3 linked regions of the Cricetulus griseus genome follow. The protein of the gene in region 3 interacts with the protein of the main gene of each other region in a pairwise test. Links are inferred from orthologs where the notes say so. Each region holds a gene or a part of one and is shown on either strand. Other genes may lie near its edges.

Evidence for each region. The genes of interacting proteins can lie anywhere in the genome.
Region 1: the proteins of Trim41 (region 3) and Chd2 interact in binary tests that used the Homo sapiens proteins (3 or more experiments, as listed by UniProt). The two-hybrid records come from large-scale screens. The link is inferred for Cricetulus griseus from reciprocal best matches to the Homo sapiens genes TRIM41 and CHD2.
Region 2: the proteins of Trim41 (region 3) and Top3b interact in binary tests that used the Homo sapiens proteins (3 or more experiments, as listed by UniProt). The two-hybrid records come from large-scale screens. The link is inferred for Cricetulus griseus from reciprocal best matches to the Homo sapiens genes TRIM41 and TOP3B.

Annotation. Positions count from the first base shown.
Region 1 is NC_048596.1:123,752,345-123,756,577, forward strand, and holds the start of Chd2 (chromodomain-helicase-DNA-binding protein 2), read left to right. Parts: upstream 1-1,433; 5' UTR 1,434-1,503; coding exon of another isoform or gene 1,504-1,565; intron 1,566-2,408; 5' UTR 2,409-4,233. UniProt on the Homo sapiens protein: ATP-dependent chromatin-remodeling factor that specifically binds to the promoter of target genes, leading to chromatin remodeling, possibly by promoting deposition of histone H3.3.
Region 2 is NC_048597.1:72,462,187-72,466,232, forward strand, and holds the start of Top3b (DNA topoisomerase 3-beta-1), read right to left. Parts: upstream 2,801-4,046; 5' UTR 2,687-2,800; intron 2,615-2,686; exon of another isoform or gene 2,455-2,614; intron 1-2,454. UniProt on the Homo sapiens protein: Releases the supercoiling and torsional tension of DNA introduced during the DNA replication and transcription by transiently cleaving and rejoining one strand of the DNA duplex.
Region 3 is NC_048600.1:63,472,683-63,476,856, forward strand, and holds the start of Trim41 (E3 ubiquitin-protein ligase TRIM41), read right to left. Parts: upstream 2,801-4,174; 5' UTR 2,492-2,800; coding exon 1,685-2,491; intron 1-1,684.

The DNA.
Region 1 (4,233 bases), on a different chromosome or scaffold from region 3:
AGGGTGGCGCTCTTGAGTTGTAAGAAAATTACCCCTTCCTTCTTAGTTGGGGTGGAAAATTCCCCCTGTTTAAACCATCTTTAGATGGTTTTTAGGGACCACAAAGAAGGCAAGAGTTGAGCTTAATTCATGGTGTTGATGTTGCTTCTATTTGCAAGCCATTTTACCCATGGGGGTGTTAATTTTTTTTTAAAGATTTGTACTTAAGATGAGCTTTAGATTCTCTACAAATTATCCTTATTTCAAAATGGCTTGATAAAACACAACTTCCTGTCCAGGGAGGAAGTTATTTTAGCTCAAGGACTGAAATATTTAGCAGATCTTTAAACAAAAGGAACAAATTACATTTCTCTCTGGCTTAAAAAGGGTGCTTGAGCCAGAGGGGGTTAAGAAGCCCTTCCCCCTCCCCCTTATGGAGTGGTCTGGAGGGGCAGGGAGGTGTGGGGTTGGGGGTCTTAAGGCTCCCTTGGATGGAGGATCTAGTTTTTTCTTTCTTTTTTTTTTTGGTGGAGATGAAGGGGTGGGTCTATGGTACATCACCTGAGTTGTGGGGTAAATGTAGAGAGTGTCAATCAAAGGCAGAGCTCTCAGAGCTGGGAAGGAGGCTCTAGATGGCGGCTGTGCCTTAGAGAGAGCGCGCTTTGCTCCCTGCTTCGGTTCACTTTACGCAACTTTCCCTAACTTTCGGGCAGCCTCAGGGGGCCCCCGCAGCCCCCTGCCTCTTCTAGTGACTTACTGGGGTCGATTCGAATCTTTTTTTGGAAGAAAAGCAGCTTTTAGGAGCTTTTTTTTCGTGCCTTGTTGGAAGAAGCTGCCGTATTGAGAGCCCAGGTCGTTGTTTTTTCCAGCTTAGAAGCCATGGCGCACCTCCATTTTTGTGCGCTCTCCTAATGAGGCTTTTTTTTTCCCCTTCCGGACCTGTTTTAGTATTAATTATTGCTTTATTTTTTGACAAGCCAACACATTTGAGGACTATTTCATTTACTTTTTGTTTTTTAACGGAGGATTTTTCGTTATTTTTAATTATTTTGGATCTGGCATTTTTCTACTACTAGATAGGACTCTTGCTTTGGACATACTGCATGGATCAGGTAAGTCCATAATAATTAGTGATAATTTGAAAGATTTTTATGTTGAAGTTGGCTTTATTTATTGTAAATATGAGAAATTCCTGGATGACGCAATAAGATACAGAGATTGTTATTTGTATCCAGTGTGTTACTTTGAGAAACTTTCCTTATTGATAGTGATGCTTCTACAGTTCAGCTTATCCCCCACTTATTTTAAAAAGAAAAAATAGAAATATTTTTGTTTTTTTGGTGCTTACCGTTGTTGCATTACATGAATATCGCTAACATCGTCAGGACTTTGTTCCTGATAGTAAGAACCATCCATAGAAGCTGGGACCTTACCTTTCTTTCAACTTTTGACAGTAAATACCTGGGCACAGGACTTCAAAGCAAACACAGATTCCCCCTCCCCCTTATATTTAAGAATTAAAAGATGATGAGAAATAAGGACAAAAGCCAAGAGGAGGACAGTTCGCTACACAGCAATGCATCGAGGTATGAGCTATCAACTTACTTTTTTTTTTTTTTTTTTTGGGGAAACCTCAGCTTACACTTGTTTACTTTGACAGACATAGATTGCTGTCTGTGTTGAAAGAATTTTCTAACTTGGGTTGATTTTTTTTTAAAGCGTGACCTTGAGATTGCTAACATGCCACACCCTGATTTTTTGGTAGCTATTTATGAAAGTTGAGTTGTGACTTAAGGCCTCTTAAAGCATTCTGAAGGTAAGGTACTTTTGTACGGAGGGGCCTTTCCTAGAAACTGTAGTTTTTCTGTCAGTAAATTTTTAGGTTTTAGGTTTTCATGCTGCAGAAAAATGACCTTGTCTGTTTAGCCATTGCTGCATTGCACCATTTTACATACAAGGCAAATTTTTTTCTTTGAATAATCTGGGATATTCAAACTTGTAACTGAGGGCCATAGAGGAGCCTTGTGGTAGTAAATTATAGTAAATAGACATTTGAGAAAGTTATATGAATGAGAAAATGTACATTTAAAAACAGAATCACAAATGGGACCCTTTGACTGATGCCTTTCATTTTATATTTTTGATTGTTTCTTTTGATACACTTCACAAATTTGAAAATTTTTATGACTTAACAAAACCTTACTTAAAGTTCCTGAAATCATTAAATCTGTCACCGCAAAAATCCTGGAATGCTATTAACACTTGCTTTGTGATTATTACTATGACAATATAATTTCAGATTTTGTTTAAAATGTTACAAGGTTTATGCTTGTGTATTTATGTTAAGACAGTGCTTTCTGGTTGGTAATTGTATTTTATCTTTACATTTTAGTTGATGCTGCTTTAAATTTATCCATTTATTTTGACAGAGTCATCTGGAATGCTTTCTCTTCTGAAGCTTTAATGTACTGTTTGTTCAAATAATGATTTGTTTCACATTCCTTGAAGTAGTTTATCAGTGACTGAAGTAATAAAGCCTATAAGATATTTTGGTTGTATGACTGTATCTTTATCTTTATTTAAAAAATGTGCATGCATTTCTGAATCTGTTAAGAATTGTCATGTCATAATTTTTAAATCATGCAGCTAACAAGGATGTGATTGGTTATGTGATCTTTTCCCAATTTTGATTTTATTTTATAACTTTGCATAAAATTCTTTTTCTAAATTAAGCTTGTAAATTTTGAGTATGCTTTATTACAAATGATGAATTTTGCTTTTGACTAAAAATAGTTTTGAATCTTTTAAAAGCACATTTTCGAGTTCCTTTGCAAATTGAGTTGTTACAATTTTGGATCTTTTGAGTTGCCTGTGTAATTATTGAGTTATATGTAGAACAAAAAACACTTGTAATGCAAAACTAGCTTTCTGGAAAGTAATAATTTGAAGGTATAGGAAGCTCCAGATATATTTGACAATTATGAAAGACCCAGTATTAAAGTTGTTACTCCCTTGAGTATATGATTTGCATATTCTCACCAGGGTTTTGGCTTTCTTAAGCAGGTTTCTGGTTTCATTGATCAGACGATGCTCTCTAACTCATCTCAAAGTGCTGCCTTTGAATAAACTTTTACTTTTATCTGGGATATGACTGCGGCATTGTCATGCATTTGATTTCTTTTGTCAATAAGAAGCATGTTTTTAATGCTTTTGCCAATTATACTTTAAAATCATATACTTGATGGATGTTCAAATATTCTAGAATCCTGAAAGAGGGAGTTACTTTTAAATTACTGTTACTTTTAAGTTATATACATTATTAATGCATGTACATAGTTATGACATCACTTCCTTTAAAGATTGTAAAGCTTAAAGAATGTTTGTGTTGTTTTGGTACAGTAGGCTATTTCTGGTGAACTGAAATTGAATTGCCTCTGTTTACCTGGTTCCTGTGATATCAGTAGGTTGCCTAAAGGGAGGCTAAAGTTTTGAAGTACAGTGTTCAGGGAACATCACTGAAATCACCTTTTGCACCCTGATTCTGCAGGGGAGGAAAGGAATTGCCTTCAGGTTAAGTAAACTTCAGAATGAGAATCACTTGAGAACAAGTTTTAAGTAAAGTTTTTCCCCCTGTTTTGAAAACAAGTGCTATAACTTACTACTGATTAAGTGTATTCTTGTATTCTTTTGTAGTTAATGCTGAATTCTAATTTGCTTTGTATATCATGATTTTTGGAGATTAAAAATTACTTTTTCGAATGTAATTTTAAACAATTTACATTTCTAATTTCTAAACACAACGGTTTTAGTGATGGACACAAAGTATGCCACATACTTACCTAAGTTATATCCACGAGTGTTAACTAGGGGGGAAGAAAATGCACATGGAACCGTGTGAACACACTTCTGTGTTCTAAGACACGGCATTTATAAACTCAAAATTAAATCTATATCCAAAGTCGTTTGCCTTTGAGCCATATTTTGATATCCGGAGGTGTGAGTACAATTTTCACGTTTTCAGGAGCCCTTAGCCTTGTAAGGCTGGGGATGATTAGAAACGGCATTTGCAGTGCTTGTGGACTGGAATAAGCAGTTTTAAGTGGCAGCCATTTTATGACGCTGATAATACTTTTAAAAATCGGATTTTTAAGAAGGCTGAAAAATGAATCGAAGTCCTGAATATCAGAATATCCCTTTCCCCACGTTCCCATTGGTACTCTGGTGATGAATTAAGGGGCAGCTCGGTAGCTGGCG
Region 2 (4,046 bases), on a different chromosome or scaffold from region 3:
CCAGACTCTTGCATAGAGCTGTACTCAGCCTCAGAGCTCTTCTAACTCTGTCTTACCTGAGTCAAGCCTTCTTCTCATATACATAGCCCTTGGCCAGGCATCTGTCTTAACTAACCCACATTACACTGTACTATGGCCAGTGATTCCTTGCAAAAGGACATGCAAACTTCACATCTGGACCATTGCTGGCCCTTGCTGTAGCTTTCTGGGCAGGATGTATCACTTGAAACCTGCTGTCAGAGCAGGAAAAAAGATGACAATAAACACAAAAACCCTACCAAATGAAAACCACACTAACCAAACCAACCAAAATAAAATGGTGTGTGTGTGTGTGTGTGTGTGAGATACAGATTCCTTCTTTAAAAATTGCTTTTGTTATGTGCATGGGATGTTGTGCCTGTATGTGTGTTTGTGTGTCATACGCGTTGCAGGGTCTGTGGAGGCCAGAGAGGCTGCTGATTCCCTGGGATTGGAGTTACAGATGGTTGTCAGCTACCACATGGCTCCTCTGCCAACAGCTAAGTCATCTCTCCAGCCTGTCCTTTTCTCTGTTGTGCTGAGGGTTAAGCCCAGGGTTTCATGCATGTTAGGCAAGTACCCTACCATGAATCATACTTCTAGTTTCCCTTTCTTTTTTGATCAACAGACATTCAGCATTATTATTATTGTTGTTGCTGTTGGTTTTTCAAGAGAGGGTTTCTCTGTAGCTTTGGAGCCTTTCCTGGAGCTCACTCTGTAGACCAGGCTGGCCTCGAACTTATAGATCCACCTGCCTCTGCCTCCTGAGTGCGCCACCATCACCTAGTCAGCATTATTATTTTGAGATAGTTTCACTTTGTATTCCAGGTTGGCCTTGAGTGGCAATCCTCCTGACTCAGTCTCCCAAAGTGCCAGGGTTATAGGCCTGGGCCACCACCATGTCCTCCAGCATTATTTATAAACACAGACTTGTATGCATTTAAAACCCCAAAGATTTTTTTTTTCAGACAACTAGAGAAAAAAATGATGTAAGACATGTACTCCATAACTTGAGATGGCTTGGTGAGTAAAGTGCTTGCTGTGCAGGCATTTGGATACAACTTTGATCCCTAGAACCCATATAAAAGCTAGACCTGGTGGTATGGGTTTAGAATTCCAGCGCTTGGAAAGTGCGGACAGGCTGATCACCGTGCTCACTGCCTGGCTAATCTAGTAGAAACAACCATCTCTCCAGCAAAATTCTAATTTTCCTTAAAAGTTCCTAAAAATAAGAAAACAGTCCACTTGTCCGAAATTGTGAGCAAAACATATGAGCAGGTATAAGTAAACAGAAAAAAAGAAACGTTTTTTATGTTTGCAGGTATGCTGCCCTTGCAGGCAGAGGTCAGGGGTTTCTTTTCTTGCTCTCCACCTAATTTTTGAGACAGACTCTCTCGGTCAACCTGAAACTAAGATTTTTCTACAGGATCATGTAAATATATAAAGTAGACTCTGTAACATAAACCTACATGATACACCAAGTTTGATCTTGTTTGCCAAGGCTCTGAGACTACAGTTTGCCCTCTTCTGAAGTTAGGTAAGCAAATGCTATTTAGGTGTTGACTGTAAGAGAGAATAGCAAGACAGTCTGTTTATAACTTGCTAAATCTCACTGGCAAATGCCACCATCACTGTGTCCTTTGGGAGACATTGTCAATCTGGGCATTTCCTTTTGCGTGTCTTATGAAGTAGTAGATTTAACTTGAAGAGGAGGCCTGAAAGGGGTCAGCAAAGCATCCAGAGTCTCCAGTGATTCTTAAGCATCTACAGACCCAGGAAAACACGCCTACCTCTTAAGCCCCTTCTCTGTATCGAGTATGGCACAGCTCTATCTGCCAACATCTGTATAAAATAGGAGTTAAATTTAAAATTTCAAAAAAACATTTATTTTATGTGTGTGTACATGCATGGGTGCACACATGCTGCAGGTCACAAGTAGAGGTCAGAGGACAACTTGTGGGATTCAGCTTTTTTTTTTTTTTTTTTTTTTCACCACGTGGGTTCCAGGGATTGAAACCGGGCTGTCAAGCTCAGTGGCAAGAGCGCTGAGCCATCTCACTAGCTGAAGTTTTAAAAGCCAGGGTAAATTGCAGTTTATAAAAATTCAGACTAGTGACAAGGAACCTTGGCAAACTTTTTCCCCCCCCCTCTCCAGCTATCAAACGTTGACTGTTCAGGCTTCTCACGTCCTGTTCTCAAAGGCGTGAGTGACAAACAGGTTAAGAGAGATCACCGTCTTCCCTTTCACCCAGGCATAAGTTGCTGGCCCTCGATTCTAGTTCACGGGTTCACCCAAGTTTTCTCCAAGACGGCCGCGGTCTCCAGAAGGAGCAAGCTACGGGAGGCAAGCGAGTGGAACCCTCGGCTGAGAACGCGGAGTGCGGGCCTCTGCGGGCAGCCTGTTTCCCTACCCGTGAGTCGGGGCAAACACCTCACCTCGGGGCCGCGGGGAGCTCGGTGGAGAAGCCACAGTCGCCCACTGAGCGCCGGTCCACCAGCGCCCAGGAGCCCCACCGCGAAGGCGGGGCGGCGCGGCCACAAAGCGGCGCCAGGCAGGGACCCTCCCCCGCACCCCCCGCCCGGGTCTGCGCTCCGCTTTTATTCCGGAAATGCCCGAGGAAAGCCAGCGTCTTCCGCTTCCTCGCGCAGCCAGCAGCCCACCGCTCACCCGCTGTGCCGCCGCGGCTCTCGCTCCGGCCGGGCTCTCCCGGTGGCCACTAGTGAACCCACTTCCGGCTCTGTCCGCTTGTGGCGTCCCCTCATCTGCTCTCCGATGTCGACACTTCGGTGTCTGCGAGTTCCGAGGCTGGTGAGTTCCGGGTGCCCAGCCGTCTGCAGTCTGGTTTGGTGCAGCTGGGGTTCCCCAAGCCTCCACTATGTCCCTCCTTCCTGCATCCTGCATTTTGGAGGGGGGAATCATTATGATTATGAAAACAGATGCTATTAATAATTAAAATAATTTTTAAAATTACAGACAGACTTCTTTCAGAGTTAGAAACATTTGAGAGTCAAGGATGGTAACTCACACCAGAAATCCAGCAATCAGGAGGCTGAAGCGGAGAATTAGAGGCCAGTCACAGCTACACAGTGAGTTTCATTCCAGCCTGGACTACAGGGTATACAAACCAAACCAAACACCATCTAAAATTTTGTAGATGGTACTATTTGTGTTAATATATTTGGAAGATGATGTATAAAATGTTTTTTAGAGCATTAGGATCACAGAAGTTTTAAAATAGTTTTCATGACTCTATTAGCATATCATTTTTAATAGACCAGTGTAGTGACACATAACCTTTAATCCCAGAATTTGAGAGGCAGAGGTAGGCAGGTTTCTGTGAGTTCAAGGCCAGCCTTGAGAAACTCTGTCTCAAAAAACAAAAAGCAAATAACAACAACAGAAATCCTCCTGGTTTTAAACCATCACTCTATTACCAAGATTGCGCCCTGACTGAAAGGTTCAGACTTTCATACTGATCGGCAATATCTCTTTAAGGACAGACCCTACCCCCTGACAACAGTCAGGGCACACAGAGGAAAATGTGCTGTTATCATCACCATGTCACCCGACACGCATTAGGCCTGCTGAGGACTCTGGGCATGCGTGGAACCTCAGTCTTCCCCAACTTCCCTGCTGCTCAACCTCTTTACTCTCTTTTACTCTCTCTCTTTGCTCACTTCTGCTTTGCTCTCTCTTCCCCCACCTACACACTCTCTCTGCCTCTCTATGGTGACCGGCCATGGTGGGCAGCCATTACCCCTGTTTCTCTTCTCTCTTTAGTCTCCATACTCTGCCGGGCCGTATAATAAACTAGTTAACATGTCATCATCCGCCTCTTTTCCTCTTTTTCTTCAAAAAACATAACGCTGACAGTCCCAAAAAACTAGCTAGGGTTGGGTACCCATTCTCAATATATCAGTTAAAGAGACAACTAAGATGGCTGCAAGATGGCTCAGTGTGTGAAGACGCTGGCTGCCATGCTGGCCATGTGCACATGAAATAACAATAAATATATAAGTAATAATAA
Region 3 (4,174 bases):
TCCAGGATATCCAGGTCTATTACACAGAGAAACCCTGTCCAGGAAAAAACAAACAAACAAACAAACAAACAAGAAACAAAAAGGGTTTCTTGCCCTCAGGTCTCATGTATCTTGAGCTAGCCTCTATCTTGCTACATCAAGGATGACCTTGAACTGTTCTTCCTGCCTCTATTTCCCCAAGTGTTGGGATAAAAAGCTTGCACTATCATGCCCATTTTAGGATGACTATTCTATAGATACTCTAATTCAGAACTTCTGCAGTAAGGCCCACTGTACTTTTGACATCTCCTCAAATAACTGACAATCAGCTGTGAAGCCTTAGACTCTAAAGTTGAGGAGGTGATGATCACCTAAATGAAGTTACTGACTGAATTAGGAGGAGGCATAGAAACATTAGTCACAAACAAAGCTCTGGGCAGCCATACAGAGGAGGCTACCCTCTCCTCCTGATTCTATGGCTTCAAATCTGAAGATAGTTCTATCTGTGCTGGCTGCTTCACAGACACATGTCCTTTACATATGTCCAAAGAATTAGAGAAATAAAGAACAAGCCAGTTAACCAAACAAGAATTAGATTCCTAGAACAGTCACATCAGAAAAGTCAAACTAGGCCAGGCGTTGGTGGCGGATGCCTTTAATCCCAGCACTTGGGAAGCAGAGGCAGAGGCAGGCAGATCTCTGTGAGTTCAAGGCCAGCCTGGTCTACTGAGTGAGTTCCAGGAGAGGCTCCAAAGCTACACAGAGAAACCCTGTCTCGAGAAAAAAAAAAAAAAAAAAGTCAAACTAAAATATCCAAGTAGTGTTACCTAGGAGCCCCAAGAGGAAGATGTTCATATCCAAGTCTATCACTTATTAAAGCTGTATATACATAAACATCCATGTTCAGAATTTAACCCTGTTTCCCAATCAATAAAATGAGAATGGCAAACATCAAACTCACATGGTGACTTTGAATTATGAATGATAATCCACAAAAAGTGACCTGCACAGTACTGACTATATGTGAAGTGCCCTATAAATATTAACTCCTGTAATAATTAAAGTTCAAAGTGAAGCCGGGTAGGCACACCTTTAATCCCAGCACTCCAGAGGCACAGGCAGGCAGATTCCTGTGAGTTCAAGGCCAGCCTGGTCTACTACTGAGTGAGTGCCAGGATAGGCTCCAAAGCTACACAGAGAAATCCTGTCTCAAAAAAATAACAAAAACAAAAAAAAAGTTTAAAGACACAAGATTTTTACCCTAAAACCCTCCTTTCTGGTTAATACATGAGACTGGGTGCTGAGCCAACCAGCAAATCTGTATCATAGGATGGGTGTGGAACCCGTTAGGAAACAAGTGCAGAGTATTTGGGTCTGACACTAGTTATTTCTATGCTCCTGTTTCAGACTCCCTTGTTCTTTTTGGTCCCATTTCTTTCCATCTGGAAGTGACTCTGTCATGGATAAGACTTAAGATCCATCCAGAAGGATGAATGCACTCTCTGTCACTTGCACTCCTATCCTTAAGCCACAGAGGAAGTCTCAGGATCCTTGTAATTTATCGACCTTGGAAGTCAGTGCTTGGACAGGGAGAATCATTTCTGCAGGACATGAGGTCCTGTAAGAGAACCCACATTCCCTTTGCCCGATGTCCTCTATTTCCTCCCTACCCTTACTAAACTCTTGCCTTGCTTAGTTCACTCACCTTGTACTCCTGCACCACCTCTTCCAATGGCACCACACTATGCTGTTTGTGGCTCCTGGATTCTCGGCACACCACACAGATGGCTTCTTCATCCACCTCACAGAACAATTTCAGGGCTTCTTGGTGTCTCGGACAGATGCCTTGTTCATTCACACGACTCCCTCGACCAGGGGTTGGATGCATCTGACGAATCACCTGGACCATGTTGGCCAACTGCAGGTTGGGGCGGAAGCTCCGCCGAGGAAAACTTTTTCGGCACTGGGGACAAGTGAAGCACCTCCGAGGGGCTGGAGGTGGCGGCAGTTGGGTGATCGGATCTAGCTCCTCTTCCTCATCTTCCTCCAGCACTTCCTCCTCCTCGTCCTCATCTTCCCCCCTCAGGTCCTCCACATCTCCCAAGTAATAGTCCAGATCTTCCTCCTCCTCCTCTTCCTCCCACACATAGTCCATGTTGTCCCAGTTGGACCCGCCTATACCACTACTCCAGAACACACCCTCCTCTTCCTCCTCGGCCTCCTCCTCCATGTCACCCTCATAATCTTCATCCCGCATGGGGGTGTCCCAACCCCCGCCTGCTCCGACAGCCTCCACTTCTTCCTCCTCTCCGACCTCCTCCTCCTCCTCCCGATCCAACTCATCCCTGTCCTCCTCATCCTCCCCGCCCCACAACTGGGTTACACACACTCGGCAGAAGTTGTGCCCGCAGCCGATGGACACGGGGTCCGTGAAGTAATCGAGGCAGATGGCGCACACCGCCTCCTCCTGAAGGGTCTGCACAGGGTTGGGTGTCATGGCAACGGCAGCCATCTTAGTGTCCAGTCAGCCAGTGTAGAAGTGTGGTGGGGGCCGAGGGGGGGCGGGGGGGTCTTCCTTCTCAGAAGCCCAGGAGACCCGTCCCCACCCCAAGCCCTGCTTCCCCACACCTTGCCTGCGGCGAGGCCGGAGGAATGTCCTCCCGACCAGCCCACCGCTGCACACACAGTCCCCTACCCCTAGACGACAATCGCGTCTCAGAGAGGGGAGGGGACTGAGGTGAGCACCACCGACAAGTATCTCAGGTGGACCTGAGTGCAAATCTGCCCCAACGCTCCCCCGGCCTCCTCATAAACCCCCGCCCCTCCTCACTTCCTGGCCCCGCCCCCCAGCTTCCGGCCTCCCTCCCGACGCTTCCGGCGTCTCCACACGACCTAAACTCACGAGTTCCCTCCGAGGTTGTGCTACGCCCCCCTTCTCCCACGCCCCGCCCCGGACTCCAGGGCAACCGGAAACGAGGAGGAGACGCTCTAGCGGACACGCGGGAACAGGGCGGGAGGGCTAGGACGGCGGAGGTCCGCATCTCTGTGATGACTGGCGGCGGGGAACGCGTACAAAGCGGAAGAAGCCCCCATGCCCCGCCAGCGGGGACAGATGGCGGAGGGCAGCGAGGACGTGGAGCAGCACCCTGCTCTCCGTGCTACAACCGCAGCGGCCTAGCGCCATCCTACCGACCAGGCACGGACGCCTGCAGAAGGCACTCCCAATAGCAGTGCCGGAAGCTGAGGGGCGGGCCCGCTCAGCGTCCTCAAACACTTCCGGCCCCTGTAGCCCTAGAACTTGCTGGAGACTCGATAGATCCCTGCAAGTGGGGGTCGTGGGCGGAGTCTGACGAGATAGCTGGGACTGGAGTTCGGGAGGCGCCACCCTCTGCGGGGCATTCCCACGCCCGTTTCAGCAGCTGCAATCTTGCGGGCACTCCTGTATGCCTCCCACACTTGGGAGGGAGAGGCAGGAGGACCGCGGCAAGTTACAGCCTTGTCTAATCTGGGCTACAAAGTCAGACCCTGTCCCAGGAAGTAACCACCAACCAACCAGAGCAAGCAAACAAACAAACAAACAAAAAAACACTGTCATCTGGCCACTGGCCTATCATTTATTATTAATAGCTACATTCACATTAAATGGAACACTGTCCAGATATGTGAACAAGAGTCTTCCCGGATGTGTTATGCTTAAAAAGCGCAGATTGCTGGACACTCTGGAGTATACAAGGTTAAGTGTATTTGGTGCTTTGTATGGCTGTGACTACTCCTTTAAAGTAGACCATAGGTCGTCGCCTCGGGGTTTTGTGAGGATGTCACGTAAAGCGATCAGAGGGTTTCCTAGCACCTGGTCCGACTGCTCAGGGTTAGCTAGCTACTCTACCATATCCGCGTCTGTGGAGGAAGACAGAATTTCTCTAGGAAAGATGACCGGGTAGGAAAGACGCTTTTCCTAACATGTAGTTCTTTTTATATCCTTTGAGTTTTGAAACAAGTCCATATGTTCTCTTTAAAAATAAATAAATAAATATATATATATATATATATATATATATATATTTCCCCCTTGCTATGGAGTCATTCAAATTTTACTACTTCTTAATGGCCGTGCACACTTTCAATGATTTGCAGTCCTTAATGTTTTTGAGATTTGTATTCGTTGAATTCCAGTGTAAAAGGAAGGAGTGTCTCG